Anolis sagrei: one gene and its partners. The protein of the gene in region 3 binds, or shares a complex with, the protein of the main gene of each other region. Links are inferred from orthologs where the notes say so. Each region holds a gene or a part of one and is shown on either strand. Other genes may lie near its edges.

Region 1 (7,191 bases), on a different chromosome or scaffold from region 3:
AAGGGGGGCGGGAAGGACCTCTCGGCTCAGGCGACCGGGAAGAACACTGACTGCCTGAAGGAGGTCCTGGAGGTGGCCACGGACTTTGCCAAGCTGAAACTGGGCGAGCTGAAGAACTGACCCCCCCCCCCCTTCAGGGAAGAGATCCAGGCAAGGAAGCCCTTGTCTGCTCCGCCAGTAGGTTAACAGCTTAGTGATAACTGGAAACAACGTTACGTGCATTGTTGTCCTTCTCAGCTCATCCGCTCAGGCACTAACCAAGCCAGGCGGCCGTGCCAGGAAATGCCCTGAGCACAGAACGTGGGAGCCTGTGGCGGCACAAGTTCGAATCGAAATGTGGTAAAAATCTCCTTGCACATACAAGTCACATACTTCCTGACGCTCTAAACTTGAATGTCTTTGTACAGTTTGCAATAAGACATGGCCCACGAATTCTCTGTCCGTGCTCAAGCGCTTGGGGCGTTTTGCATGCGCGGGGCCAAGGCTCAACACTTCGGTCATTTCATCCCTTATCTCTGTAACTGTGAAAGCCCCTCCTTCATTCATAGTATTAACCTCTGTTGTAGCCAAGCCCAAGCCAGGCGTGTTCTGGCACGAGGAGCTGTGCTTCACCAGGTTCCATGCTGAATAAACAGATGTCTATTTAAGTGAGTGTCTTGCTGTAGAAACAAAAGCAATGGGCACATGGGCACATTACATATAACCATGCTGCAGTGTGATATGCTCAAGCCTACAACCCACAAAAACCTACAACAACCCAGTGATTCCGGCCATGAAAGCCTTCTCAACAAAAGTTTGCCCCAGCCACAGTCATTTCCTTTCCTTTCTGCACAGCCAAGAAGAGTAGTTTGCATGTGTTGCTATTTTTAATTGCAACTTGATGTGTCAACAATGGCACGTTGTGCTTAAGAATGGCTTCTCACAACCTCTGAGGATGCTTGCCATAGATGCAGGCGAAACATCAGGAGAGAATGCCTCTAGAACAGTGTTTCTCAACCTGGGGGTCGGGACCCCCATGGGGGTCATGAGGGGTCGCCAAAGACCATGAGAAAACATAGTATTTTCTGTTGGTCATGGGGGTTCTGTGGAAAGTTTGGTCCAATTCTATTGGTGGGGTTCAGAATGCTATTTTATTGCGGGTGAACTATAAATCACAACAATTACAACTCCTATTTTCTCCAAACTCCAGCAGTATTCACATTTGGGCATATTGAGTATTTGTGCCAAGTTTGATCCAGATCCATCATTGCTTGAGTCCACAGTGTTCTCCGGATGTAGGTGAACTACAACTCCAAAAAACTCAAGGTCAATGTCCACCAGACCTTCCCAGTATTTTCTCTTGGTCATGGGAATTCTGTGTGCCCAGTTTGATTCAATTCCATCACTGGTGGAGTTCAGAAGGCTCTTTGATTTTAGGTGAACTATAAATCCCAGCAACTCCACCATTACCAAATGACAAAATCAATCACCCCCCAACCCCACCAATATTCAAATTTGGGGATATCAGGTATTTGTGCCAAATTTGGTTCAGTGACTGAAAATACATCCTGCATATCAGATATTTAGATTACCATTCATAACAGTAGCAAAATTACAGTTGTGAAGTAGCAACGAAAATATTATGGTTGGGGGTCACCAGAACATGAGGACCTGTATTAAGGGGTCGCGGCATTAGGAAGGTTGAGAACCACTGCTCTAGAACATATAATAATAATAACACTTTATTTATACCCCGCTACCATCTCCCCAGGGGACTCGGTGCGGCTTACATGAGGCCGAGCCCAAAATACAACAATACAAGCAATAACAACAACAATACAAGCAGTTTAAAACAGCAAAACAATAACATAAGCATTATCAAATAGGACAACACACTTTAAAAACTATGGCTGGGCCAAATGTGCCCAGGGGGAGTCTCTCATTGGGTATCAGCCATTGGTTGAGGTTCTGGGTTTGAGCCTGCCACTTTTGGACTCTCGCTTGCTGAGGTGTTCCAGCGAGTGTCTCTGTAGATCTTAGAAAACTATTTCGTAATTTAAGGCGTTGACGTGCTGGCTGATACCCAAACAGGGGATGAGCTGGAGATGTCACTTCCTTGGTCCTTTCACTATTGGCTGCCACTTCCCGGCGGATGTCAGGTGGTGCAATACCGGCTAAGCAGTGTAATTTCTCCAGTGGTGAGGGGCGCAGATACCCCATGATAATGTGACATGTCTCATTAAGAGCCACATCCACTGTTTTAGTATGGTGAGATGTGTTCCACACTGGACATGCATACTCAGCAGCAGAGGAGCACAGCGCAAGGCAGATGTCTTCAGTGATCTAATTTTGCTGGGGAGTGAATTCCACAGGCGGGGGCCACTACTGATAAGGCTCTGTCCCTCGTCCCCACCAGCTTTGTTTGTGACGTTGGTGGGACCGAGAGCAGGGCCTCTTAAACTATCAGGGTTTGAGCCTGCCACTTTTGGGGTCTCGTTTGCTGAGGTGTTCCAGCGAGTGTCTCTATAGATATTAGAAAACTATTTCTTGCTTTAAGTCGTTGGCATGCTGGCTGATACTCAAACGGGGTGAGCTGGAGATGTCACTGCCTTGGTCATTTCACTATTGGTTGCTGCCACTCCTTGAACTCACTCTCTCTCCTAGTGTCTAGATCCAGGGAAGTCATGCTCCCCATGCTCTATTCCGCTTTGGTTAGACCACTTTACCTGGAATATTGTGTCCAATTCTGGGCACCACAATTCAAGAGAGATATTGACAAGCTGGAATGTGTCCAGAGGAGGGCGACTAAAATGATCAAGGGTCTGGAGAACAAGCCCTATGAGGAGCGGCTTAGGGAACTGGGCATGTTTAGCCTGAAGAAGAGAAGGCTGAGAGGGGATATGATAGCCATGTATAAGGAAGCCACAGGGAGGAGGAGGGAGCAAGCTTGTTTTCTGCTTCCCTGGAGACTAGGACACGAAACAATGGCTTCAAACTCCAAGAGAGGAGATTCCATCTGAACATGAGGAAGAACTTTCTGACTGTGAGAGCCGTTCAGCAGTGGAACTCACTGCCCCGGAGTGTGGTGGAGGCTCCTTCCTTGGAAGCTTTTAAACAGAGGCTGGATGGCCATCTGTCGGGGGTGCTTAAATGCATTTTTCCTGCTTCTTGGCAGAATGGGGTTGGACTGGATGATGATGGCCCAGGAGGTCTCTTCCAATTCTAGGATTCTATGAATTGTATGTCTATTCTCAATGGCAGGTGTGGGCAAACTTGGGCCCTCCAGGTGTTTTGGACTTCAACTCCCACAATTCCTAACAGCCTACCGGCTGTTAGGAATTGTGGGAGTTGAAGTCCAAAACACCTGGAGTCCAAGTTTGCCCATGCTTGCTCAATGGGTTTCTTCTGACAAGAGATCAATAAAGAGGAGCAGCCTGCTCCTCCTCCTCCAGGCCAGCAGGGGGCAAGAGAGAGAGAGCGCTCAGAGGAGAGAGTGCTCCTCTGAGTAGCGTGCTCCTCCTCCAGGCCAGCAGGGGGCGCGAGAGAGAGAGGGAGCGAGGGCGCAGGCGCAGCTTCCTTTTCCGCTTCCCCTTGTGAGAATGGGTTTCTTCTGACCAGAGATCAATAAAGAGGAACAGCCTGCTCCTCCTCCTCCAGGCCAGCAGGGGGCGCGAGACAGAGAGAGAGGGAGCCTGGGCGCAGGCGCAGTGGGAGCCGCTTCCTCTTCCGCTTCCCCGAGAGAGCGCTCAGAGGAGAGAGAGTGCTCCTCTGAGCAGCCTGCTCCTCCTCCTCCTGGCCAGCAGGGGGCGAGAGAGAGAGAGAGAGGGCGCAGGAGCAGTGTGCGCCGCTTCCTGTTCCGCTTCCCCTTGTGAGAATGAGCTTCTTCTGACCAGAGATCAATAAAGAGGAGCAGCCTGCTTCTTCTCCTCCAGGCCAGCAGGGGGCGCGAGATAGAGAGAGAGCGCTCAGAGGAGAGAGTGCTCCTCTGAGCAGCCTGCTCCTTCTCCTCCAGGCCAGCAGGGGGCGAGAGAGAGAGAGAGGGCGCAGTGGGCGCCGCTTCCTCTTCCGCTTCCCCTTGTGAGAATGGGTTTCTTCTGAGCAGAGATCAATAGAGGAACAGCCTGCTTCTCCTCCTCCAGGCCAGCAGGGGGCGAGAGAGAGAGAGAGCGCGCTCAGAGGAGAGTGGTCCTTTGAGCAGCCTGCTCCTCCTCCTCCAGGCCAGCAGGGGGCGCGAGACAGAGAGAGAGAGGGAGCGATTACGCAGGCGCAGTGGGCGCCGCTTCTCCTTCCGCTTCCTGTTGTGAGGCTGCGACGGTGAGGGGAGTGTTGCCATGCCGCTGGACCACCGCCGCGTGCCGGGCCCGGAGGAGTCTCAGTCCTCGCTGCTCTTCGTGGCCGAGGGGGCGGAGGAGGCGGAGAAGAAGCCTGAAAAGCCGGGGCGGGACCCTTCCGCGCTGCAGGCGGTGTTCGCGCGGGCGGCGGTGCTGAGCCAGGCCAAGGGCTCGGCCTTCGTGGAGCTGTCTGGCGGGACGAAGGTGCTGTGCGGCGTGTACGGGCCCCGAGAGGCCCCCGCAGGAGGAGGAGGAGCGGGGAGCGAGTCGGGGGGCCGGCTGGTGTGCGAGTTCCGGCGCGCGCCCTTCTCTTCCCGCGGGCCCCGTCGTCGGTGGTCATCGGAGCGCGACCCGTGCCTGGCGCAGGCGCTGACGGAGTCCCTCTCGGCCGCCGCCCGCCTCTCCCGCTACCCGCGCGCCCAGCTGGAGGTCAGCGCGCTGGTGCTGCAGGACGGGGGCTCCGTGCTGGCCGCCGCCCTCTGCGCCTCCGGGCTCGCCCTGGCCCACGCCGGCGTCGAGCTCTTCGACCTGCCCGCCGCCTGCGCCCTCGCCCTCGCCCCCGGAACAGCAGGGGGAGAGTGGCTGCTCCAGCCCGACGAGGCCGAGACCCGCCGCGCCCGCGCCCACCTCACCGTGGCCCTCCTGCCCTCCCTCAACCAAGTGGCCGGCCTCCTGGGCAGCGGGGAAGGCGGCCCCCCGGACAGCTGGGCACGGGCCCTGCGCCTCGGACTCGACGGATGCCACCGCCTCTACCCGCTCCTCAGGAAGAGCCTCCTCCGCGCCCTCACGCCCAAGGGGGACCCCCCGCCCCCCCACAAGACCCCAGAGGAAGAGGAAGGGGCGCCCCACCCCATCACATGAGACCCAGCCCCACTCAGGTATGGACAGCCTCAGGCCCTGCCCACTTAGTCTGGAATTAATATATAATCTGGGACTAGGGACTGCGGGGAAGGGGCCTGAGATACTCTGGCATCCAACTGCCAGCATTCTGCCTCTACATCAGGTTTGGGTAAACTTTGGCCTTCCTTCCAGGTGTTTTGGACTCCAACTCCCACCATCCCTAACAGCCTCAGGCCCATTCTGCCTCTAGATCAGGTTTAGGCCAACTCTGGCCCTCCCTCTGGGTGTTTTGGACTCCAACTCCCACCATCCCCAACAGCCTCAGGCCCATTCTGCCTCTAGATCAGGTTTAGGCCAACTCTGGCCCTCCCTCTGGGTGTTTTGGACTCCAACTCCCACCATCCCCAACAGCCTCAGGCCCATTCTGCCTCTAGATCAGGTTTAGGCCAACTCTGGCCCTCCCTCTGGGTGTTTTGGACTCCAACTCCCACCATCCCCAACAGCCTCAGGCCCATTCTGCCTCTACATCAGGTTTAGGCCAACTCTGGCCCTCCCTCTGGGTGTTTTGGACTCCAACTCCCACCATCCCCAACAGCCTCAGGCCCATTCTGCCTCTAGATCAGGTTTAGGCCAACTCTGGCCCTCCCTCTGGGTGTTTTGGACTCCAACTCCCACCATCCCCAACAGCCTCAGGCCCATTCTGCCTCTAGATCAGGTTTAGGCCAACTCTGGCCCTCCCTCTGGGTGTTTTGGACTCCAACTCCCACCATCCTCAACAGCCTCAGGCCCATTCTGCCTCTAGATCAGATTTGGGTAAACTTAGGCCTTCCTTCCAGGTGTTTTGGACTCCAACTCCCACCATCCCCAACAGCCTCAGGCCCATTCTGCCTCTACATCAGGTTTAGGCCAACTCTGGCCCTCCCTCTGGGTGTTTTGGACTCCAACTCCCACCATCCCCAACAGCCTCAGGCCCATTCTGCCTCTACATCAGGTTTAGGCCAACTCTGGCCCTCCCTCTGGGTGTTTTGGACTCCAACTCCCACCATCCCCAACAGCCTCAGGCCCATTCTGCCTCTACATCAGGTTTAGGCCAACTCTGGCCCTCCCTCTGGGTGTTTTGGACTCCAACTCCCACCATCCCCAACAGCCTCAGGCCCATTCTGCCTCTACATCAGGTTTAGGCCAACTCTGGCCCTCCCTCTGGGTGTTTTGGACTCCAACTCCCACCATCCCCAACAGCCTCAGGCCCATTCTGCCTCTAGATCAGGTTTAGGCCAACTCTGGCCCTCCCTCTGGGTGTTTTGGACTCCAACTCCCACCATCCCCAACAGCCTCAGGCCCATTCTGCCTCTACATCAGGTTTGGGTAAACTTAGGCCTTCCTTCCAGGTGTTTTGGACTCCAACTCCCACCATCCCCAACAGCCTCAGGCCCATTCTGCCTCTAGATCAGGTTTAGGCCAACTCTGGCCCTCCCTCTGGGTGTTTTGGACTCCAACTCCCACCATCCCCAACAGCCTCAGGCCCATTCTGCCTCTAGATCAGGTTTAGGCCAACTCTGGCCCTCCCTCTGGGTGTTTTGGACTCCAACTCCCACCATCCCCAACAGCCTCAGGCCCATTCTGCCTCTAGATCAGATTTGGGTAAACTTAGGCCTTCCTTCCAGGTGTTTTGGACTCCAACTCCCACCATCCCCAACAGCCTCAGGCCCATTCTGCCTCTACATCAGGTTTAGGCCAACTCTGGCCCTCCCTCTGGGTGTTTTGGACTCCAACTCCCACCATCCCCAACAGCCTCAGGCCCATTCTGCCTCTACATCAGGTTTAGGCCAACTCTGGCCCTCCCTCTGGGTGTTTTGGACTCCAACTCCCACCATCCCCAACAGCCTCAGGCCCATTCTGCCTCTACATCAGGTTTAGGCCAACTCTGGCCCTCCCTCTGGGTGTTTTGGACTCCAACTCCCACCATCCCCAACAGCCTCAGGCCCATTCTGCCTCTAGATCAGGTTTAGGCCAACTCTGGCCCTCCCTCTGGGTGTTTTGG
Region 2 (7,557 bases), on a different chromosome or scaffold from region 3:
GAAAGAAGGAAGGAAGCCTCAAAAGGAATCCTAAAAGGAAGGAAAAGGAGGAGAAAGGAGGAGAAGCTGGAGAAGGAAGGAAGGGAAGGGAAGGAAGCCTCGAAAGGAGAAGGAGAAGCTGGAGAAGGAAGGAAGGGAAGGAAGCCTCAAAAGGAATCCTAAAAGGAAGGAGAAAGAGGAGGAAGGAAGCCTCAAAAGGAAGCCCAAAAGGAAGGAGAAGGGCAAGGAGAAGGAGGAGAAGGAAGGGAGAGAGAAAGAGAGAAAGGAAGGAGGAGCTGGATCCCCCGCCCTCCAACCCCCAAGTGCCAAGTTCTAACTGAACGGCTGCCTGTGCGCGCGCTTGGCTTCAGGAGGAAAGGAAAAAGGAGGGGGGGACTTCACTTGGAAAGGGATTTCTCTTTGGGGAAATGGAGTTGGGGTCTGATTTTTGGGGGGATTAAAGGTCATCTCTTGGGCCACCTTTGGGCCAAATTTGGGCGGGGAAAGCCGTCGGGGAGGGCGACGGGGTTGGTGCGTAAAAGTCGCCTTTGGCGACTTTTACGCACCAACCCCGTCGCCCTCCCCGACGGCTTTCCCCGAAACGGATGGGACAACAAAGGCTTTCAAAGGGGTCTCTCGGCTCCCCTAACCATTGGGGAGAATGACCTCAAGGTGGGGGTCGCAATCAGCCCCCTCCCTTTGCAGAAACGCCTTCCATTTGAGGCACCAAACATTTTACGCACCAACATTTTACGCACCAAGTTTTGTGCGCTTTTCCCAAACTTTGCGCCCTTAGAATTTGGGATAATTTGGGGTCAATCATAAGGGGGTGTCTTTTTTGCACCCCTAACTTTTTGGGGAAAGTGGGTGGACCCCCTCCCCCCCAAATTAAGACCACTACTTTGCATGCCAACCTTTGCATTTGGCGCAAAATCATTTGCGACTTTTTACGCACGAATAACTAGCCTTTCTCCCCAATTGGAGGAGCAAAAAAGGGGGTGATAACGGGGGTCTCCTGGCACCCCTAACTTATGGGAAAGTGGGGGGGGGGGATAGGTTGGCCCCCTGTCGTTGCTTAGGCGCCATTGCGGGTGTTTTGGAGTGGGCTTGGCTGCTCTCCTTGCCTTTCATTGGAGGAGACGTGTTGACACACAAGCTCTTGCCTCCTCCTCTTGCTTTTGAAGATGAGAGGTGACTTAGGACTCTATCACTTCCAGAATTCTGGGGTTTGTAGTTTAGTGAGACTGTTAAAGTTCAATGTATTGTCGAAGGCTTTCATGGCTGGAATCACTAGGTTCTTGTGGGTTTTTTCGGGCTATAGAGCCATGTTCTAGAGGCATTTCTCCTGACGTTTCGCCTGCATCTATGGCAAGCATCCTCAGAGGTAGTGAGGTCTGTTGGAATTAGGACAATGGGTTTATATATCTGTGGAATGGCTGGGGTGGGGCAAAGAGCTCTTCTCTGCTGGAGCTAGGTGTGAATGTTTCAACTGACCACCTTCATTAGCATTTGAAGGCCTGGCTGAGCCTGGGGGAATCTTTCGTTGAGAGGTGTTAACATGTGCCTGGTTGTTTCCTCTCTGCTGTTTTGCTGTTGTAATTTTAGAGTTTTTTTTAATACTGGTAGCCAGATTTTGTTCATTTTCATGGTCTCCTCCTTTCCGTTGAAATTGTCCACATGCTTCTTGTGGATTTCAGTGGCTTCTCTGTGTAGTCTGACATGGTGGTTGTTGGAGTGGTCCAGCATTTCTGTGTTCTCACATAATATGCTGTGTCCAGGCTGGTTCATCAGGGGCTCTGTTTAAGTTGTTGTTCATTCTTTCAGTCATTTCTGACTCTTCATAGGGCTTGCTCTTCAGACCCTTGATCATTTTAGGGAGAGTAAAATGATCGAGGGTCTGGAGAACAAGCCCTACGAGGAGCGGCTTAAGGAGCTGGGCATGTTTAGCCTGAAGAAGAGAAGGCTGAGAGGGGATATGATAGCCATCTATAAATATGTGAGAGGAAGCCACAGGGAGGAGGGAGCAAGCTTCCTTTCTGCTTCCCTGGAGACTAGGACGCAAGGGAACACTGGCTTCAAACTACAAGAGAGGAGATTCCACCTGAACATGAGGAAGAACTTCCTGACTGTGAGAGCCGTTCAGCCGTGGAACTCTCTGCCCCGGAGTGTGGTGGAGGCTCCTTCGTTGGAAGCTTTTAAACAGAGGCTGGATGGCCATCTGTCAGGAGTGATTTGAATGCAGGCATGTAGCCGGGGGGGGGGGGGAGGGCTTGGGGGGCTTGGACCCCTCCCGAAATTCTCATGGTGGTTCACGAAAAGGCCTTCCTGGTGCATTATTTAAACTGTTATGTTTATTCATATCATGATCTGATCACCCTACGCAATATATCCCATATGCATGGGGGTATTGGGGTAACAATACAAAAGGTTTGCTAGGGTAGACCTGCTTTCACTCAGACTCAGCCCCCCCCCCCCCCCCGAAACAAACTCAGCCCCCCCCCCCCCCGAATCGAAATCCTGGTTACGGGCCTGTTTGAATGATGCATCCCGTTTAGATTACTGCAACGCTCTCTACGTGGGGTTGCCTCTGAAGACTGCCCAGAAGCTTCTATTAGTCCAATGTGCGGCAATCAGACTACTAATGGGAGCGGGGTACAGGGAGCATACTACTCCTCTGTTGCGCCAGCTCCACTGGCTGCCAGTCAGCTTCCGAGCACAATTCAAAGTGCTGGTCTTAACCTATAAAGCCCTAAACGACTCCGGCCCAATTTACCTGTCCGAACAGGTAACAGGTATCCTTCCCTATGAACCATCAAGATTGCTAAGATTGTCTGGAGGGGCCCTGCTCTCAATCCCACCGGCCTCACAGGCGCGGCTGGTGGGGACGAGAGACAGGGCCTTCTCGGTGGTGGCCCCTCGACTCTGGAACTCAGAAGAGATCAGAACTGCCCCTTCGATCTTAACGTTCAGGAAACAGGTGAAAACCTGGCTTTGGGGATTGGCATTCGACGAATGAGCCATGACCCTGTGATATGGATGGATGACGACGAATAATGATTTTTGATGACGACTGACCACTGTAATCACATGACTGTATTTTTGCTATTTTAATGTTTTAGTGTGATTTAGAATATGATGTTGTAATGACTGTCTGTAATATTGATGTTGGAAAGCGGTCTGGGTCCCTCGAACGGAGGTGAGAAGACCAATATACAGAACTGCTCAATAAATAATTAAAATAATAAGAATAATTCAGAAGTTGTAATGTTTACAAAGAAGGAAACATCGCTATGGCGCCCCCTCTCGCTACAGGCGCGCCACTGCAGGCCTTGGCTCCTCCCCTTCCTCCTCATTGGCTGTCTTTATGTCCCCGCCCCTTTGCTTCCCCCGCCATTCCTCGTCTCCCTCTCGCTAGAAGCTCCTCCTCCTTATTGGCTCAGTCGCAGAAAAGGGGCGTGGTTATCGTTGCGACCCCGCCCCCTTAATGCTCCTTCCATTTAGGCGCCTCTCTGTGCTCTCTGCTTCAAGCCCCTCCCCTTCTTCCCTATTGGATGGGGAGCAGGGAAGGGGCGTGGTTATCGTTCCGGCCCCGCCCCTTGCTGCTCTCTCCATTCAGGCGCCTTTCTGTGCTCTCTGCTTCAGGCCCCTCCCCTTCTTCCCTATTGGATGGGGAGCAGGGAAGGGGCGTGGTTATCGTTGCGACCCCGCCCCTTGCTGCTCTCTCCATTTGGGCGCCTTTCTGTGCTCTCTGCTTCAGGCCCCTCCCCTTCTTCCCTATTGGATGGGGAGCAGGGAAGGGGCGTGGTTATCCTTAAGTCCCCGCCCCCTAGCTTCACCCGCCAGAGAGGTGCCTTCTCTCTGCTCTCGCTTCAGGCCCCTCCCCTTCTTCCCTATTGGATGGGGAGCAGGAAAGGGGCGTGGTTATCGTTCCGGCCCCGCCCCCTTGCTGCTCCATCCATTCAGGCCCCTCCTCTTCTTCCCTATTGGCCGGGGAGGAGGGAAAAGGGGGCGTGGTTATCCTTCAGGCCCCGCCTCCTTGCTGCTCCCTCGCCATTCAGACGCCTCTCTCTGCTCTAGCTTCAGGCCCCTCCCCTTCCTCCCTATTGGATGGGGAGCAGGGAAGGGGCGTGGTTATCCTTAAGTCCCCGCCCCCTTGCCGCCCCATCCATTCAGGCCCCTCCTCTTCTTCCCTATTGGCTGGGGAGCAGGGAAAGGGGCGTGGTTATCCTTAAGTCCCCGCCCCCTTGCTGATCCCGCCATTCAGGCACTTCTCTCTGCTCTCGCTTCAGGCCCCTCCCCTTCTTCCCTATTGGATGGGGAGCAGGGAAGGGGCGTGGTTATCCTTAAGTCCCCGCCCCCTTGCCGCCCCATCCATTCAGGCCCCTCCTCTTCTTCCCTACTGGCTGGGGAGCAGGGAAAGGGGCGTGGTTATATTTAAGTCCCCGCCCCCTTGCTGATCCCGCCATTCAGGCCCTTCTCTCTGCTCTCTCTTCAGGCCCCTCCCCTTCTTCCCTATTGGTTGTGGAGCAGGGGGTGGGCGTGGCTACCCTTCCTGGTTCCCGCCTTTCTCTTTCCTTGCATGATGGCGGGCCTGGAGCTGCTCTCTGCGCAGGGCTTCCGCGTGGACGGGCGCCGGGCCGGGGAGCTGCGGCAGGTGCGGGCCCGCATGGGGGTCTTCGCCCAGGCAGACGGGTCCGCCTACCTCGAGCAGGGGAACACCAAGGCCCTCGCCGTCGTCTACGGGCCCCACGAGGTAGGAAGGCAGGGGGTGGGTTCCTAGATCTAATCACCTCTCCACAAAAGATTCCCCCAGGCACAGCCAGGCCATCAAATGCTGAGAGGGCTTAGATGGGTTTATAGATCTAATCACCTCTCCACAAAAGATTTCCCCAGGCACAGCCAGGCCATCAAATGCTGAGAGGGCTTAGATGGGTTTATATATCTAATCACCTCTCCACAAAAGATTCCCCCAGGCACAGCCAGGCCATCAAATGCTGAGAGGGCTTAGATGGGTTTATAGATCTAATCACCTCTCCACAAAAGATTTCCCCAGGCACAGCCAGGCCATCAAATGCTGAGAGGGCTTAGATGGGTTTATATATCTAATCACCTCTCCACAAAAGATTTCCCCAGGCACAGCCAGGCCATCAAATGCTGAGAGGGCTTAGATGGGTTTATAGATCTAATCACCTCTCCACAAAAGATTTCCCCAGGCACAGCCAGGCCATCAAATGCTGAGAGGGCTTAGATGGGTTTATATATCTAATCACCTCTCCACAAAAGATTTCCCCAGGCACAGCCAGGCCATCAAATGCTGAGAGGGCTTAGATGGGTTTATAGATCTAATCACCTCTCCACAAAAGATTTCCCCAGGCACAGCCAGGCCATCAAATGCTGAGAGGGCTTAGATGGGTTTATAGATCTAATCACCTCTCCACAAAAGATTTCCCCAGGCACAGCCAGGCCATCAAATGCTGAGAGGGCTTAGATGGGTTTATAGATCTAATCACCTCTCCACAAAAGATTCCCCCAGGCACAGCCAGGCCATCAAATGCTGAGAGGGCTTAGATGGGTTTATAGATCTAATCACCTCTCCACAAAAGATTTCCCCAGGCACAGCCAGGCCATCAAATGCTGAGAGGGCTTAGATGGGTTTATATATCTAATCACCTCTCCACAAAAGATTCCCCCAGGCACAGCCAGGCCATCAAATGCTGAGAGGGCTTAGATGGGTTTATAGATCTAATCACCTCTCCACAAAAGATTCCCCCAGGCACAGCCAGGCCATCAAATGCTGAGAGGGCTTAGATGGGTTTATATATCTAATCACCTCTCCACAAAAGATTCCCCCAGGCACAGCCAGGCCATCAAATGCTGAGAGGGCTTAGATGGGTTTATAGATCTAATCACCTCTCCACAAAAGATTCCCCCAGGCACAGCCAGGCCATCAAATGCTGAGAGGGCTTAGATGGGTTTATATATCTAATCACCTCTCCACAAAAGATTTCCCCGGGCACAGCCAGGTCATCAAATGCTAATCGAGGTGGTCAGTTGAAACGTTCACACCTAGCTCCAGCAGACAAGAGTCCTTTGTCCCACCCTGGTCATTATTCCACAGATGTATAAACCCTAGCTCCAGCAGACAAGAGTCCTTTGTCCCACCCCAGTCATTCTACAGATATATAAACCCTTTTTCCTCGTTCCAACAGACCTCACTACCTCTGAGGATGCTTGCCATAGATGCAGGCGAAACATCAGGAGAGAATGCCTCTAGAACATGGCCATATAGCCCAAAGAAACCTACAACAACCCAGTGATTCCAGCCATGAAAGCCTTCGACAATGACATCTAATCACCTCTCAACAAAAGATTCCCCCAGGCACAGCCAGGCCATCATATGCTGAGAGGGCTTAGATGGGTTTATATATCTAATCACCTCTCAACAAAGGATTCCCCCAGGCACTCCGAGGCCATTATATGCCAATCAAGGTGGTCAGTTGAAACATTCACACCTAGCTCCAGCAGACAAGAGTCCTTTGTCCCACCCTGCTCATTATTCCACATATATATAAACCCTTTTTCCTAGTTCCAACAGACCTCACTACCTCTGAGGATGCTTGCCATAGATGCAGGCGAAATGTCAGGAGAGAATGCCACTAGACCATGGCCTCTGTGCCTGTTCAAAAGATTCCACATCACTTTCAGTTCCTGTGAGAATGGGATTTTGAAACATTTAGTTTATTGTGGAAACAAGGGTGGGAGGTATTTCCTGGGTGAGGAGGGCAGGCTAGATGACCCCCAGAGGCCCCTGGACTACCCCCGTCTCCTTCCTCTTTCCTGCAGACGCGGGGCTCGCGGTCCAAGGCGCTGCACGACCAGGCGGTGGTCAACTGCCAGTTCAGCCTGGCCACCTTCAGCACCGGAGAGCGCAAGCGGCGGCCCCACGGTGACCGGCAGACCTCCGAGATGAGCCTCCACCTCAAGCAGACCTTCGAGGCCGCCATCCTCACCCAGCTCTACCCTCGCTCCCAGATCGACATCTACGTCCAGGTGGGTGACCGGTAGGTTTCCATGCACCCCCTTGGAAACAGTCATCTAGGAGTCTTTGCAGACCCCAAGCAGAACGTGAGCCAAGAGAGTGATGCGGCAGCTCAAAAGGCCAATGCCATTCTAGGCTGCATCAGGAAGAGTTTAAAAATGAAATAGGTATAGAATGGGTGACCCCTGAAGGGACCCCAAAGGCCATCCAGTCCAACCCCTTTCTGCCAGAAAGGAAGACACCATTGGAATATGAAAACAGTATCTAAGAGTCTCAGGAGAAGACAAGCTGAACTTTTTTCTTCTCTTTTGTCATTTACACAATCAAATAAAATTATATTTTTAAAAATCAGTGGAATTCTGTGTTGGAGGCTTTTAAACAGAAGCTGGATGGCCACCTTTCTGGGAGGCTCTGATTGTGCTTTTCCTGCATGGCAGGAGGGGGTTGGAATGCATGGCTTTTGCAGTCTCTTCCAACTCTATCATTATGATTATTTTACCATTTTTCTCCTTCGCATTTGGCCCAGCTCGCCCCTATTT
Region 3 (7,974 bases):
TTTATTCTATTTTCAACCATCTTTATTTTATCGATAAAAAATACAAAGATGGAAGAAAAAAGAGACCCATTTAATCAAAGGGGATGATAGATATGTCTCCGAATTCCACATGGATTCAAATGGAAACAAGCAATATGGTTAAGTCAAATAACTTAATTTTTAGAGTTATTAAAATATATTTTTATAATTAATGCTACTACACACCTTTTCACCAGCAACAACACAGAGAGATTCAGTATCTATACACTTCGAATTCCTTAGGCATCTTTCTAACAGTCGATTCAGTTTTACAAGTAACTCAGGCTGTCTAGAATTAAAAAATAAACCTTTAGTTACAAATAATTAAGAAAGACAAAACATTTCTTGAGGAAGCACTGAATGTTATTACTAGGGAGAAGTAGGGTCACATACCTTCCAGGCTCAAATGCAGGTGATGCCATAGGAGAGAGTTCAAGATTAAAGAAAAGTATGCCCTCCGTCGCACGATTTGGCTTTGGGGTGACAAGCTCACAGGACACTTGTCCAAGAATCCTACAAAGAGAAAAGCCACCACATAGGCGAACTTTAAGAGTAAAATTTCAACTGATTGCTTACATGTTTAAAATAACAAGGCGTTCTAAAATTCACATTGTCTTATTCAGAGTTGACATTAACTTGATACAATTAATTGCCAGAAGACATACAATGATATTATGCATATGATTCCCTGTATAGTAATAGAAAATGCAGATGTGGAACACTGAATGTTTACCATTTTGTGATACGTGTTTTAACACTGTTTTTGGAAGCTGTTTTGGATCTTACTCTGGAAGAAAGGTGGAGTATAAATACAGGGCCCTTCTACACAGCCATATAACCCAAAATATCAAGGTAGAAAATCCCACAATATCTGCTTTGAGCTGGATTATCTGAGACCACACTGCCATATATTCGACAATGTGGGATTTTATTCAGCTATATGGAAGGGGCCTGAGTCAGATGTTCTAAGTCCGTCAGTGTTGTCTGCATTCTCCAGGTTCCAGGCAGAGGTTTTGTTACCTAAAAATGCTGAAAACTTCATCATGCAAATTTTGTGCTCTTAGTAAGTTATGGTCCTTTGCACATAATCCTTTCATGTACACTTTTCATTTCCACATTGTAGTTATCAAGACAGTAACTTGGTCATTTGTCTCAGTTAAGGACAAACGAAGGCATCAACTGAAGGCAGATAGCCACATGTGCAACAAGGTAGGAGCAATCAATAAGTGATGGCCATATCCCCTATTCTGAGGTACCTCGTTTTTCCAAGCTCCACAATACAGCAGCCATAGTCAGAGCCAAAGGAGATGCGAAGATTTCTGTAGTCATAGCACTCTCGTCCATCAAGACGCTGTAAAGACAAAACAAGCTAAAATTACAGATGTGAAATATGGGACTGTGGAAAAAGTCAACTAGAATCATAGCATTGAATGAGAATTCATGGGCTATCCAGTCCAACCCCTGGCCAAGAAGCAGGAAAATCACATTCAAAACACTAAATTATATGTACACAGTGAAACCCACTCTTACAGTCCTGAACTCTAGGTTTGCCAACTGTGAAGAGTTTGCATGCCTAAATCCACTTATATGGTACAGAGGTAATTATTTTCCTTATTTCGGCATTTCCATAACTCATCTTCAGGGGCTGACTTTCCCCTCTAGAGCAGCAATTAATAACACTGAAATCCTACAAAGCAGGAAAGAAGATTATAGATGAATCTGACACACTGGGTGTCTTTCACACTACACAGTTAGTGTACTTTGATACTACTTTAACTTCCAAAAACGGATCCTACAGAATTTGGGTACTTTGGTACAGTAAACCACTTTGAGTCCCCCTTGGGGTAAGAAAAACAGTATACAAATACTGTAAATAAATAAATAAGTAAATAAAGCTCTCTAGCAGAGAATTCAAAGAACCCTTCCCTAAATGCAAACCGAAAGATTCCACAGGAAGGCACCATGGCAGCTAAAGAGGTATCAAAATTCTATAATATTTAGTATAAAGAAGACCAGAGTGTCGCATCAGTGAAGTTAACAATAATAATAATAATAATAATAATTCATTTGTTGCCCATCTCTCCTCACAACTCAAGGTGGGGGTATAAAACAGCCAAAACACATTTACCAAAATACATTAATATAACAATTAAATATATCAATAGAATGCAAACTTGAAATGCAGAGTTCAAAATTAATTGGTTGTCAGGGAAGCTGTATGCCCATGTTCAAGAAGCATTCTCTCCTGACATTTCACCCACAACTATGGCAGACATCCTCAGAGGTTGAGGGGTCTGTTGAAAACCAGAGTTTATATCTCTGTGGAATGTCCAGGGCGGGAGAAAGAACTCTTGTCTGTTTGAGGCAAGTATGAATGCTGCAATTGATCACCTTGCTTAGCACTGAATAGCCTTGCAGCTTCAAGGCTTGGCTGCTTCCTGCCTGGGGGGAATCCTTTGTTGGGAGGTTGATTAGCCGGCCCTGATTGTTTATTGTCTGGAATTCCCCTGGAATGACTTCTAGCATTCAGGGCTGGAGAGTGGATTTTAATACTGACTCCTGAAAAGTACAGAATCAGGTTGATCTCTTTTGTCCTCAAACCTTGCTTCGACATTTCAGTTTCCTAATATGTGGCTGGAGATGCATCTACACTGCAGAATTAACACAGTTTGAGGCCATTAATCCGGAGAGCCGTCGTTTTACAAGCCCTTTAGCCTCGTCTGCTCAATTGTGCTGTCGTCTCACCAAACTACAACTCCCGGGATTGAGCCAAAGTGGCATGAAACCGCATTAACTCTACAGTGCAGATCCATCAGACCCATGACTACAATCTCTTCTTCTCTCTCTCGCTAACGCACCTTCCGCTCCTCGATGGCTTTCAGCAGGAAGCGCTTCTCGCAGTTGGACAACGGCGTTTCCTTCATCGCAAGGCCGGAGTGTTACTGCCGCCTTGATTTGAGGCCGCGCTGCTCTTTTCCGGGTTCCGCTCTGATGACGTCATAGAGCGGGCGCACTTTAAAAGCGTCGCTTCCAAAGCATAGCTTCCTCGGCCAATAGGAAGGAACGTTACGTCATCGGGGAGGGGAGGGGGAGGAGGAAGGATCTCTCCTATTCTTGCCTATGTTCTATCTTTGGTGAACTTGGAATTCAAGGGAGAGAGACTTTGGCATCACTGTCACTGTCAACTATTGCTTGGTGCCAATCATTACTACTAAACTGAAACTTATTACTGCTACATGTAATGAACAGGCCATCTTTGTGTTGCTGCTGCTATATTGCACCCCAGGCCTGTGCAAACTTGGCCTCAGGAAGGGGCCTGAGGCTGTTAGGAATGGTGGGAATTGAAGTCCAAAACACCTGGAAGGCCCAAGTTTGCCCAGGCCTGTTGTATCCTTTCTAATTTTATGCTTCTATGTGTTTGATTATATTATGTAATGTTTGTTTGTAGGATTAACGTAACTCAAAAACCACTGGACAAATTGACACCAAATCTGGACACAATACACCTATCAGTTCAACAAGTGTCCATCACTCATAAAAAACACAGCAGAAGGGACTTAAAAAGCTAAAAAAACCATCCGAAAAACATTACAACGCATGTGCAAAACTACATAGGTTAAGGTAAAGGTTGTCCCCTGACATTAGATAGGTAAAGGTAAAAGTTTTCTCCTGACATTAAGCTCAGTCATGTCTGACTCTGGGGTGTGGTGCTCATCTCTATTTCTAAGCCGAAGAGCTAGCGTTGTCCATAGACACCTCCAAGGTCATGTGGCCGGCACAACTGCATCGAACGCCGTTACCTTCCCGCCGGAGCGGTACCTATTGATCTACTCACATTTGCATGTTTTCAAATTGCTAGGTTGGCAGAAGTTAGGGCTGACAGCAGAAGCTCGCGCCGCTCCCCGGAATCGAACCTGCAACCTTTTAGTCAACAAGCTCAGCAGCTCAGTGCTTTAACCCACTGTGCCACCGGGGGCAAAACCACATATATATACGCAAACACACACATATATATATGTGTGTATATACATATATATACACACAAAGCATATACAGACAGACTGGGCCACAGCAACACATGGCAGGGGACAGCTAATGTCCCAAATGCACTTTACTAGACATTTAAGATAGTCTGCACACCGCACCAATCTCCAAAAACCTATTCATTTCACCTGCCATGTCCAACATTTTTTAAAATTTTTAATCATTACATTTGGCCCGGCCTTAGTTTTAAATGCGTCATGGTGTTATTGTCTAATGTTTATTGCTATTGTTTTAATGTTTATTGCTTGTTTTATGAGTTTATTTATTGTTGTATTTGTTATGCTGTTGTTTTATTAATGTGTTGGGCCTCGGCCTCTTGTAAGCCGCACCAAGTCCTTCGGGAGATGTTAGCCAGGTATAAATAAAGGTTTATTATTATTATTACAACTTATCATATAGTACAATACAGGGTTAGTCAAAATGAATAGGCCAAACATACATACAATTAATTTTCTTATTGGCCTATTCATTTTGACTAACCCTGTATATTATATACTACTAGTAGTATAATATTCTGGTAGTGTGTTAAATATATTGTGATATACTAATATTGTAAATATAATAATATAATAATGATATATTACATGTAAAGCTACTAATAATATTGCAGTATAGTGGTATAGTACAATATAGTAATATTGAATACTTATATTGTGCAATGCTAAGAATATAATACAACAGAGTCTCACTTATCCAACCTTCACTCATCCAGTGTTCTGTATTATACAACGCAGTCTGCCTCCCGCCAGGATCCACTGCTGCTTCAATACATTGCAATGTTCTGGTGCTAAATTTGTAAATACATTAATTACGACCTAATGCTACTATGTATTGAACTGCCTTTTCTGTCCATTTCTTGTTTATTTACTATATTTATACCCTGCTCTTCTCAGCCCCAAAGGGGACTCGGAGCGGCTTACAGATTATGGCAAAATTCAATGCCACATTATACAACAAATAATAAATATAACATATTAAATTATAAAACAAAACATATAAATGCAATAAGACAGATTAAAACATGGTTTTAATGGAGCAGGTGTTCCATCAGGGGAGGAATGAGACTCCAAACCGGGGTGGCAGTGTTCACTTGAGAGGGGGTCCAGCTGAATCAAGGGCTACAGCTAGAAGAAACAAATGTCGGTATCTCTGTGCAGACCCATGGATGCTGAAATGCAAGCCAGTCAAGACAGAGTCCAGTAGGACCAAATGGTCCCCAGAGGCTGAGTGAGAAGCTGAGCCAAAGGCAGCAAGGGAAACAAACACTGCCCCTTCCCTCAAAGCCCCTGGTGATGGTACCTTCACTTCTTGCTTAGGCCTGAGGCCCTGCAGGCGTGGTCCTTTTTATTACTGTAATGCAAGGAGGTAACTTGCAAATATGATATAAAATTAAAAGGTGGGGCAAAAAAAAAAAGATTCTAAATAGTCCTTACTATTTCATTCTCAGAAAAGTCTGTATCATTCAAATAGCTTCTAGGGCTGCATTTGGCAAATCTGTTTGCATTTTCTGAAAAGCCTGCACTAAACCCATCAAAGTCCACTTTTTGAGGCATTTAAACATTTATTTAATATGGTAATCCAAGGATGTTGAGTTGCCTTTCTCACCAAGTTTACTATTCATCTATGATTGCATCCCGTTCCCTTTGGAAATCAGAGAGAGAACATCTCACGGTGTTTAGTCGTAAACGGATTGTGCTTTAACTCTGATTGACATGTTAATGAATTTCTGTCTGCTCTCTAAATCTCAGAGGCTACATTTTGCACAATAATCACTCACTGTATATACCTTATGAATGGAAAGGATGAAGCTGACTCTTCTCGCTTGTTTATTTAATATATACATAGCTGCACAGCTACATAGTCTTTCGGCAGTGTTACTTGAGAGAGATCCCATAGACAAAATCAGAGTGTGACCTAAATATTCTTAGGCTGCAGCTCCCATCATCCCTCCCCATTGGTTTGGCTGGCAAAGACTGAGGAAGGAGCAGACCTCACAATCTCTGAGAATGCTTGCCATAGATGCAGGCGACATGTCAGGAAAGAATGCTTCTGGAACATGGCCATACAACCTGAAAAACTTACAGCAACCCAGTCCAAAAACATTTATAGGGTTGCCTATTTTAGTGTTGCCAAGTTTCCAAAATACCAATAAAGGAAGTTGAAATTCACGACAATTAAGAAACAGCCACCTAAATGAGTTGTGGGCCCTTTCCACACAGCTGAATAAAATCCCACATTTTCTGCTTTGACCTGGAATTTATGGCCATGTGGACTCGGATAACCCAGTTCAAAGCAGATACTGTGGGATTTTCTGCCTTGATGACTGGGATTTATGGCTGTGTGGAAGGGCCCTTTGATCTTGTAGTGAGATGTCCATAATTGATTTATTTCTGTACAAAGAACAACATGTTTTTGAACACCTAGTAATCAAAATAATGGCTTTGTTTTAAACATTTTAACTCCCATGTTTGTTGTTGTTTATTTGTTCAGTCGCTTCCAACTCGTCATGACCTCATGGACTAGTCCACGCCAGAGCTCCCTGTCGGCCGTCACCACCCCCAGCTCCTTCAGAGTCAAGCCAGTCACTTCAAGGATACCATCCATCCATCTTGCCCTTGGTCAGCCCCTCTTCCTTTTTCCTTCCTTTCCCCCCAGCATCATTGTCTTCTCTAAGCTTTCCTGTCTTCTCATGATGTGGCCAAAGTACTTCTTTGCTTCTAATATCCTTCCCTCCAATGAGCAGTCAGGCTTTATTTCCTGAAATATGGACTAGTTTGATCTTCTTGTGGTCCAAGGCATTCTCAGAATTTTCCTCCAACACCACAGTTAAAAAGCATCTATCTTCCTTCCCTCAGCCATCCTTATGGTCCAGCTCTCACATTCGTCGATTACTACGGGGAATACCATTGCTTTAATTATGCAGATCTTCGTTGCCAGTGTGATGTCTTTACTCTTCGCTATTTTATTGAGATTGGTCATTGCTCTCCTCCCAAGAAGTAAACATCTTCTGATTTGCACCTAGAAATACAAAGTTTGTCACTGCCTCCATGTTTTCTCCCTCTATTTGCCAGTTATCAATCAGTCCGGTTGCCAGAATCTTGGGGGGGGGGGGGGGGGTATGTTTAACAGCAACCCAGCTTTTGCACTTCCTTCTCTCACCTTAGTTAGAAAGTTCCTCATCTCCTCCTCGCTTTTGACCATCAAAGTAGTATCATCTGCATATCTAAGGTTGTTAATGTTTCTTCCAGCAATTTTAACCCCAGCCCCGCACATTGCATGATGTGTTCTGTATACAAATTGAATAGGTTGGGTGAGCATATACAACCCTGCCATACACCTTTCCCAATCCTGAACCAGTCTGTTAATCCATGATGAGTCCTTACTCCCATGTTAGGGGTTGTTTATGTTTTCATTGTGAGTACAAATGTAAAGACTAAGTGTCGCCTAAGGGCTGAGAACAGTGGTATACAAATAAAGTAAATAAATAAAGACTATATGAAATAGCATTTTGAATTAATCACGCTCCACATACAGGATAAGTCTGGTGTACTCTGGATGTGTTCAGTATGTGATTTAAGCAAGGCAAGGTTGTTGTAATGGAATCCATGTTGGAATACTGTACAGAGGGGAAAGACAGAAGATTTATGTACCATTGTACAGAAACTGTAATAACATGTAGCCTCATGTTAGCCATTGAACATAATTGAACATAAAAACAATAGTCTATTCTATCTAGAATTCAGAGATGTGCATTTCTGTGAAAGAGAAATAAAAGATACTTATTTGTGATTACAATTATTACTATATCTATAATGCCTTTACCCAATCAATGAAGAGTGATGGCTTTACATTGTAATGATGACTTTTGAAGGGATAACTTCATTGCTTTTATGACGTACCCGTTAACTTTTC
Region 4 (7,208 bases), on a different chromosome or scaffold from region 3:
AACTACAACCAAAGTATCCCTGACAGATGGTCACCCAGCCTGTTTAAAAGCTTTCAAGGAAGGAGCTTCCACCACAATCCAAGGCAGAGAGTTCCACTGCTGAACAGCTTGTAAGGGCAGGGTTGTAAATTCTTCCTAATGTTCAGGTGGGATCTCCATTCCTGTAATTGAACCCTTTATTCTGAATCCTAGTTTCCAGGGCAGCAGAAAACATGCCTGCTCCCTCTTCCTTATGGCATCCTTTCATATATTTATACATAGTGATCATGTCTCCTCTCAACCTTCTCTTCTGTAAGCAAAACATGCTCAGTACTTTAAGACGCTCCTTATAGGCCTGGTCTCCAGAATTTTGATCATTTTAGATGTCCTCCTCTGGACACCTTCCAGTTTGTCATTATCTCTTTTGAACAGTATTCCAGGTGAGGGCTGACCATAGCAGAACACAAAGGCTTCCCTTGATCTAGACACTATACACCTTTTTGATGCAGTCCAAAATCCCATTGGTTTTTGTAGCTGTTTCACCACACTGCTGGCTCATGTTCAACTGGTTGTCCATGAAGACTCCAAGATCATTCTCACATGGACTGTTGTCAAGCCAGGCATCCCCCATCCTGTCATCTGTGGATTTCTGCTTAAATGTAGTATCTTACATTTGTTCTTGTCAAAATTCTTTTTGTTAGTTTTGGCCAATCTGCGCTCTAATCTGTTGAATCATTTTGGATTCTGATCCTGTCACTGGAGCATTAGCTATCTCTTCTAATTTGGTTTCATCCGCAAATTTGATAAGCATGCCCTCTAAACTTTCATCCAAGTCATTAATAAAAATATTGAACAGTACTGGGCCCCGGACAGAACCCTGTGGCACCCCACTAGTCACTTCTTTCCAGGATGAAGAGGAACCATTGGTGAGCCATCTTCACAGGTGCAACTTGTGGGGTTGAAAGAGAGGGACTTTTCTGTAGTGGCCCCTTGACTCTGGAACTCACTCCCCAAAGATATTAGGAACCCCTCCCCCATTGGCAGTCTTTAGGAGCTTGAAAACTTGCTTGTTCCAATGTGCCTTCCCTGAATGAAAGATGAATAATTCCCTGATCTGACCAATTCTCTGCAAAATATCCTCTGTAGCACTTTATTCTACCTGTTGGGGCAATCACCCCTACCCTACCCTCTAAAACACCTGTTCAGACTAATTTCACTGTTGTCACATCCAGTGTTTAAAATTTTTAATCTAGTTGAATTGGCCCTGTCCAGTGTTGGATCCTTGTGTTTTTAAATGTTGTTTTATTGCTGATATGTTATTTATAATGGTTTTGTATTGTATTGTATTTTTTGTTTTATTTTATTGCTGTGTTGGTTTATACTGATGTGATGTATTGTCGGGCTTGGCCTCATGTAAGCTGTCCCGAGTCCCCTTGGGAAGATGGTGGCGGGGTATAAATAAAGTTTTATTATAATAATTATTATTTTGTTCATTCAGTTGTTTCCGACACTTCGTGACTTCATAAACCAGCCCATGCCAGAGCTCCTTGTCGGCCGTCACCACCCCAGCTGCTTCAAGGTCAATCCAGTCACTTCAAGGATACCATCCATCCATCTTGCCCTTGATTGGCCCCTCTTCCCTTTTCCTTCCATTTTCCCCAGCATAATTGACTTTCCTTTCTTCACATGATGTGGCCAAAGCTTTCCTTTCTTCACATGATGTGGCCAAAGTACTTCATCTTGGCCTCTACTATCTTTCCCTCCAATGAGCAGTCAGGCTTTATTTCTTGAAGTATGGACTGGTTGGATCTTCTCACTGTCCAAGGCACTCTCAGAACTTTCCTCCAGCACCAGAGTTTGTCATTGCTCTCCTCCCAAGAAGTAAGCGTCTCCTGATTCCCTGGCTGCAGTCTGCGTCTGCAACCAGGGAATCATCTTTGCACCTAGAAATACGAAGTTTGTCACTGCCTTCATGTTTTCTCCCTCTATTTCCCAGTTGTCAATCATTCTTGTTGCTATAATATTGGTTTTTTTGATGTTTAGCTGCAACTCAGCTTTTGTGCTTTCTTCTTTCACCTTGATTAGAAGACTCCTCAGCTCCTCCTCGCTTTTGGCCATCAAAGTGGTGTCATCTGCATATCTAAGGTTGTTAATGTTTCTTCCAGCAATTTTCACCCCAGCCTTGTACTCCTCAAGCCCCACACATCACATGATGTGTTCTGCATACAAGTTGAATAGGTTGGGGGAGAGTATACAACCCTGTCATACGCCTTTCCCAATCTTGAACCAGTCTGTTGTTCCATGGTCAGTTCTTACTGCTGCGACTTTGTCCTTATACAGATTCCTCAGGAGAGAGACAGGGTGGCTTGGCATCCCCATACCACCAGGAACTCGCCACAATTTAGTATGATTCACACAGTCAAAGGCTTTAGAATAGTCAATAAAACAGAAATAGATGTTTTTCTGAAACTCCCTGCCTTATTATTATTTAGTACCAATTATAGATCCACCTCATTGTAGCATTGCTTAGGCCACATATGATTAATTTGTTTGCAAACTATATAACCTACAGCACTTGGTATAACGTTATATATAAACAAAATCCTTCTGTCAGTTTACTTGAGCAACTCTTAGACAGCGCTCCACTCCCATAGGGTACATATAAGAAGTGCTCAAGCGCGCATGCGCAGTCTGGCCCTCGCGCTTCCTTACCCGCCTCTGCTGAGAGTCTACCCAATAAACGCCTCCAGAGCCACTTCCGGGGCCGCGGTAGCGTAGTAGGCCGCATTTCGTAACCAGCAGGCCTTCTCCACCGCGCCTCAGGCCCGGCCCGCACACCAGCTTCCCCTTCTGAGGCCCGTTGGCCGACAGGCGTAGCCGCTCGCTGTCCGCCTCTGCGTGGCCCGGCAGGAGCAGCGCCTCCCCCGGCAGCACTACTCGCCCGACCCGCTCCTGGGCCTCGCAGGCGCCGACGTCCGCCATGACTGCGCGAGCGGCCGTTGAGGTCTCGCGGGATCCGTTTGCGCATGCGTAGCTCAGAACCCTCTGTCTCCACTGGTCTCCTTGGAACTGGCGACGTTCACAAAGAGCGACGGACAAAAGTTTGGAATGCTGGCAGTTGGAGGCCTCCGTTTGTCGTTGGCTGCAGCCAGGCCTTTTGACAAGGAGTACCAGGCGTCCCTTTTCCGAGACTCTCTTGCCTTGTAATCTGAATACACAGCAGATTCCCAAACTCTGCACCTCCAGGTGTTTTGGACTTCAATTCCTAGAAGCCTCAGCTGCCTTGGCCAATGATCAGGGATTATGGGAACTGAAGTCCCAACCTGGAAGGCCAGTTTCTGGAACACTAGGTTTGTTAGGTTCTTGTAGGTTTTTTCGGGCTATAGGGCCATGTTCTAGAGGCATTTCTCCTGACGTTTCGCCTGCATCTATGGCAAGCATCCTCAGAGGTAGTGAGGTCTGTTGGAAATAGGACAATGGGTTTATATATCTGTGGAATGGCTGGGGTGGGGCAAAGAGCTCTCTGCTGAAGCTAGGTGTGAATGTTTCAGCTGACCACCTTCATTAGCATTTGAAGGCCTGGCTGAGCCTGGGGAAATGTTCTGTTGAGAGGTGTTAAGATGTGCCTGGTTGTTTCCTCTCTGCTGTTTTGTTGTTGTAATTTTAGAGTTTTTTTTAATACTGGTAGCCAGATTTTGTTCATTTTCATGGTCTCCTTTCTGTTGAAATTGTCCACATGCTTGTGGATTTCAATGGCTTCTCTGTGTAGTCTGACATGGTGGTTGTTGGAGTGGTCCAGCATTTCTGTGTTCTCATTTCTGTGTTGTCAGACTACATAGAGAAATGCCTCTAGAACATGGCCCTATAGCCCGAAAAAACCTACAAGAACCTAGTGATTCCAGCCATGAAAGCCTTCGACAATACTAGGTTTGTTATTCACGAAATATTTCATTTTAAATGTTTGTGGAAGTCTGCAACTATGGTTTTAAAAAATCACTCCAGTTTTGAGTTGGATCAACTGTGCTATTTATATTTATTTATTTAGGTAAAGGTAAAGGTAGTCCCCTGACATTAAGTCCAGTCATGTCTGACTCTGGGGTGTGGTGCTCATCTCCATTTCTAAGCCAAAGAGCCAGCGTTGTCCATAGGCACCTCCAAGGTCATGTGGCCGGCATGCCTGCATGGAGCGCCGTTACCTTCCCGCCGGAGCGGTACCTATTGATCTACTCACATTTGCATGTTTTCGAACTGCTAGGTTGGCAGAAGCTAGGGTTGACAGCGGAAGCTCACGCCGCTCCCCGGAATTGAACCTGCGACCTTTCGAACAACAAGCTCAGCAGCTCAGTGCTTTAACCCACTGTGCCACCGGGGGCCTCCATTTATTTATTTATTTACTTTATTTGTATACCGCCCCTCTCAGCCTTGCGGTGACAAGGCAATGCCACAGAGTACAAATACAATTTAAGACATTAACGTCAATAAAATCATAACAACAACAATACAAAAGTAAATCAGTAAATCCTCAATAAAAACATTGTCCAATTACATCGTATAGTTGTTCCGTTTTCCTATGTCCATTACTCAATATTTGCAAATGCTTTTATCCCACTTTTCTCCCGTGGGTGGGATTCAAAGCAACGTACAGTGTTAAAAACCAATAAAAAATTACAAACAAAAAATTCAACAGAAACATAAACTAAATAAACAAATCGCACATTTCATAACCCATATAAAACAAATTAATAATTTACAACATTTATTTATTTATTTTATTTCCAACATTTCTACCCTGCCCTTCTCAACCCCCAAGGGGGTGCTCAGAGTGGCTTACGCTAGCAACACTGGCAACAATTCAATGCCATGACATGCAGAGAGATACAACAAATATAGCAACAATTTAAAAACAATAAAAAGCGTAAGTTAAAACAATTTAAAATGTTATTATTGAACCACATAGCCACTTCCAATCCAGTTCTACATCCAAAGTGTTATCATGCCTATCCAAAGACCTGGTGCCAGAAATATGATTTCAGTTTCTTCCTAATAAAAGAAAGGAGAGACGAGGCCGACCTTATCTCACTGGGGAGCGAGTTCCACAGATGATGGGTCACCACCAAGAAGGCCCTGTCCCTTGTCCCTGCCAAACGCTTTTGCAAAGCTGACGGGGCTGAGAGCAGGGCCTTCCCAAATGATCTCAAACTATGAGGTGGAATGTAGAGGGAGATACATTCCGACAAGTAAGCTGGGCCGGAACTGTATAGGGCTTAATAGGCCAAGACCAGCACTTTGAATTGTGCTCGGAAATGGACTGGTGGCCAATGGAGCTGACACAGCAGGGCGGGGTGGTGGTGGTATGCTCCCTGTATGACGCTCCGGTGAGTAATGGACTAGCTGGAGTTTCCGAACAGTCTTCAAAGGCAATCCTACATAGAGTGTGTTGCAGTAATCTACTTGGGATATAACCAGAGCATGGAACACTGTGGCCAGATCAGACTTCCCAAGTATACTAACATATACCATTAAAATTCCCTAAACCTCCGGCCACTGAGGATATCTTAGTTGTGCTAAGATCCTAGAAACTCCCTTTTCTTTAGACAGTATAAAAACATTGCTTAGTCCTTTTTGGCCTAACCCCTATGATGTTTGTTTTGCTGCCTGTTCAGGAGATGTCGCCTCTCTGTCTCTGATAATTGGATTTTGAACAAAAATTGGCTTGTTGTGGACACAAAGATTGGTGAGAAAGCCTCAGTGGAGACACCTTTACTCTATGATCACTGTTCCAGGAGTGATGTTTTCTTCCAAGAGGTTGATTTCTCTCACTACCTGTTGTCTCACTCCCAGCCTTAACTATTTATAACTGAGTTATTTGTAAGTTGAATGCATGTAATTCAGGGATTGTCTGTACAGTGTGATTCCTCTTATCGACGGATTCAGTGCCCACAATCTCAACCCCTCAGAAGTGTTTGTGAATCTGTCTAAGTCCTCCAGCACAATCTTAACTACATCAGTGGTCCATGGACCACCAGTGGTTCCAAAGAACAAAAATATGATCCATGGCATCACCGTTAATACACCATTGCAACAAGAGTGACTGGCCTCACACAACCCTCTTATAGTGCCGAGGCAACGGGGATGTCAGGGGCAAATATGGGAAACATAAGCTTTGTATAAAACATCACAGTGTTTTATTTACTAAGCCCAAATATAAAAGTTGATTGAACACATTCTTGTGTGACTTCTCATATAGAATTTCTCCTCAGCATCTCACAATGAATGTGTGAAATAGAACAAAAAGACATGAAGTGTCAGGTTTCCCCAATTGGTTGCTGAATCTCTTCCTATACTGTCTTCCTTTTTGGTATGGAACATCAACCAAGGCAATTTTGCTTGTTTTTCTCTATCTGGCAAAGGCATAGAACTAGTTAACACGTATTTGGAAAGTCACGATAAATCTTTTTATATTTGTCTTGGGAACTAGAACAGTTTGGTTCATACTGTTTTGTGCCAAAGTACATACCTGCTCACTATTTTAAAAGATGTTTGACAGTGAACCTGGTAGCCAAAATCAGAGAAGTTGATACAACGGCGCATTCTACTACTAGCCCATCTTGATGCGCTCTACTTGACTGTCAGTGGCTCTCTAAAAGTGTCTGACCAAGCTTTCATCCCACCAACTGGACAGCCTTGGTATCTTTTCCTTTTCTCTCCTGCTTTTGCAGATGAGAGAACCTCTTCTTCCAAGAAAGTTGATCGACCTACACATCATCCCATTATTGAAGTAACACCTTTATTGCCATTAGTAGAAATTGGGCATTTCAGCATATGTAATACATACAACTGCCATGTGTAGATGGCTCATTTTTACAATGTACATAAACTATTTCCTGTCAAACATTTTTACAGTTTTTTGTAAACACGAATGTTTAACTTACACTGTTTTCATTTAGCTGGAATGAGATAAGCAAAGGGCAAGAGTATTTTGCTCTTGGCTTATTAAGCAGTGGTGACACCATCTGGCTGACAGTAGAAACACACAAAAAACTCAATCGACAAGAGTTTTGTGTAAGTTATAATTTCCCCTAAGTTGATAAAGCCTCTGCTTGTTTGATGGTTTGAGTGCTGAACTATGACACTGGGGGACTACAATGTCAATCCTTCCTCAGCCACAGAAGCCAACTAGGTGATTTTGGGAAAGTCATATTATCTCGGCCTCAGAGGAAGAAAAAGGC

The links.
Region 1: EXOSC9 (region 3) and EXOSC6 share a complex: the UniProt entries of both Homo sapiens proteins name them as parts of the RNA exosome core complex. The link is inferred for Anolis sagrei from reciprocal best matches to the Homo sapiens genes EXOSC9 and EXOSC6.
Region 2: EXOSC9 (region 3) and EXOSC4 share a complex: the UniProt entries of both Homo sapiens proteins name them as parts of the RNA exosome core complex. The link is inferred for Anolis sagrei from reciprocal best matches to the Homo sapiens genes EXOSC9 and EXOSC4.
Region 4: EXOSC9 (region 3) and EXOSC3 share a complex: the UniProt entries of both Homo sapiens proteins name them as parts of the RNA exosome core complex. The link is inferred for Anolis sagrei from reciprocal best matches to the Homo sapiens genes EXOSC9 and EXOSC3.

Annotation. Positions count from the first base shown.
Region 1 is NC_090028.1:43,418,877-43,426,067, reverse strand, and holds the start of EXOSC6 (exosome complex component MTR3), read left to right. Parts: upstream 1-4,256; 5' UTR 4,257-4,310; coding exon 4,311-5,171; 3' UTR 5,172-5,188; intron 5,189-7,191. Other genes in the region: AARS1 (alanine--tRNA ligase, cytoplasmic), read left to right, coding at 1-120. UniProt on the Homo sapiens protein: Non-catalytic component of the RNA exosome complex which has 3'->5' exoribonuclease activity and participates in a multitude of cellular RNA processing and degradation events.
Region 2 is NC_090024.1:2,002,325-2,009,881, forward strand, and holds the start of EXOSC4 (exosome complex component RRP41), read left to right. Parts: upstream 1-4,556; 5' UTR 4,557-4,558; coding exon 4,559-4,732; intron 4,733-6,822; coding exon 6,823-7,029; intron 7,030-7,557. UniProt on the Homo sapiens protein: Non-catalytic component of the RNA exosome complex which has 3'->5' exoribonuclease activity and participates in a multitude of cellular RNA processing and degradation events.
Region 3 is NC_090025.1:36,466,869-36,474,842, reverse strand, and holds the start of EXOSC9 (exosome complex component RRP45), read right to left. Parts: upstream 3,020-7,974; 5' UTR 2,943-3,019; coding exon 2,877-2,942; intron 1,370-2,876; coding exon 1,275-1,369; intron 532-1,274; coding exon 412-531; intron 308-411; coding exon 205-307; intron 1-204. UniProt on the Homo sapiens protein: Non-catalytic component of the RNA exosome complex which has 3'->5' exoribonuclease activity and participates in a multitude of cellular RNA processing and degradation events.
Region 4 is NC_090023.1:155,253,689-155,260,896, reverse strand, and holds the start of EXOSC3 (exosome complex component RRP40), read right to left. Parts: upstream 3,006-7,208; 5' UTR 2,962-3,005; coding exon 2,692-2,961; intron 1-2,691. UniProt on the Homo sapiens protein: Non-catalytic component of the RNA exosome complex which has 3'->5' exoribonuclease activity and participates in a multitude of cellular RNA processing and degradation events.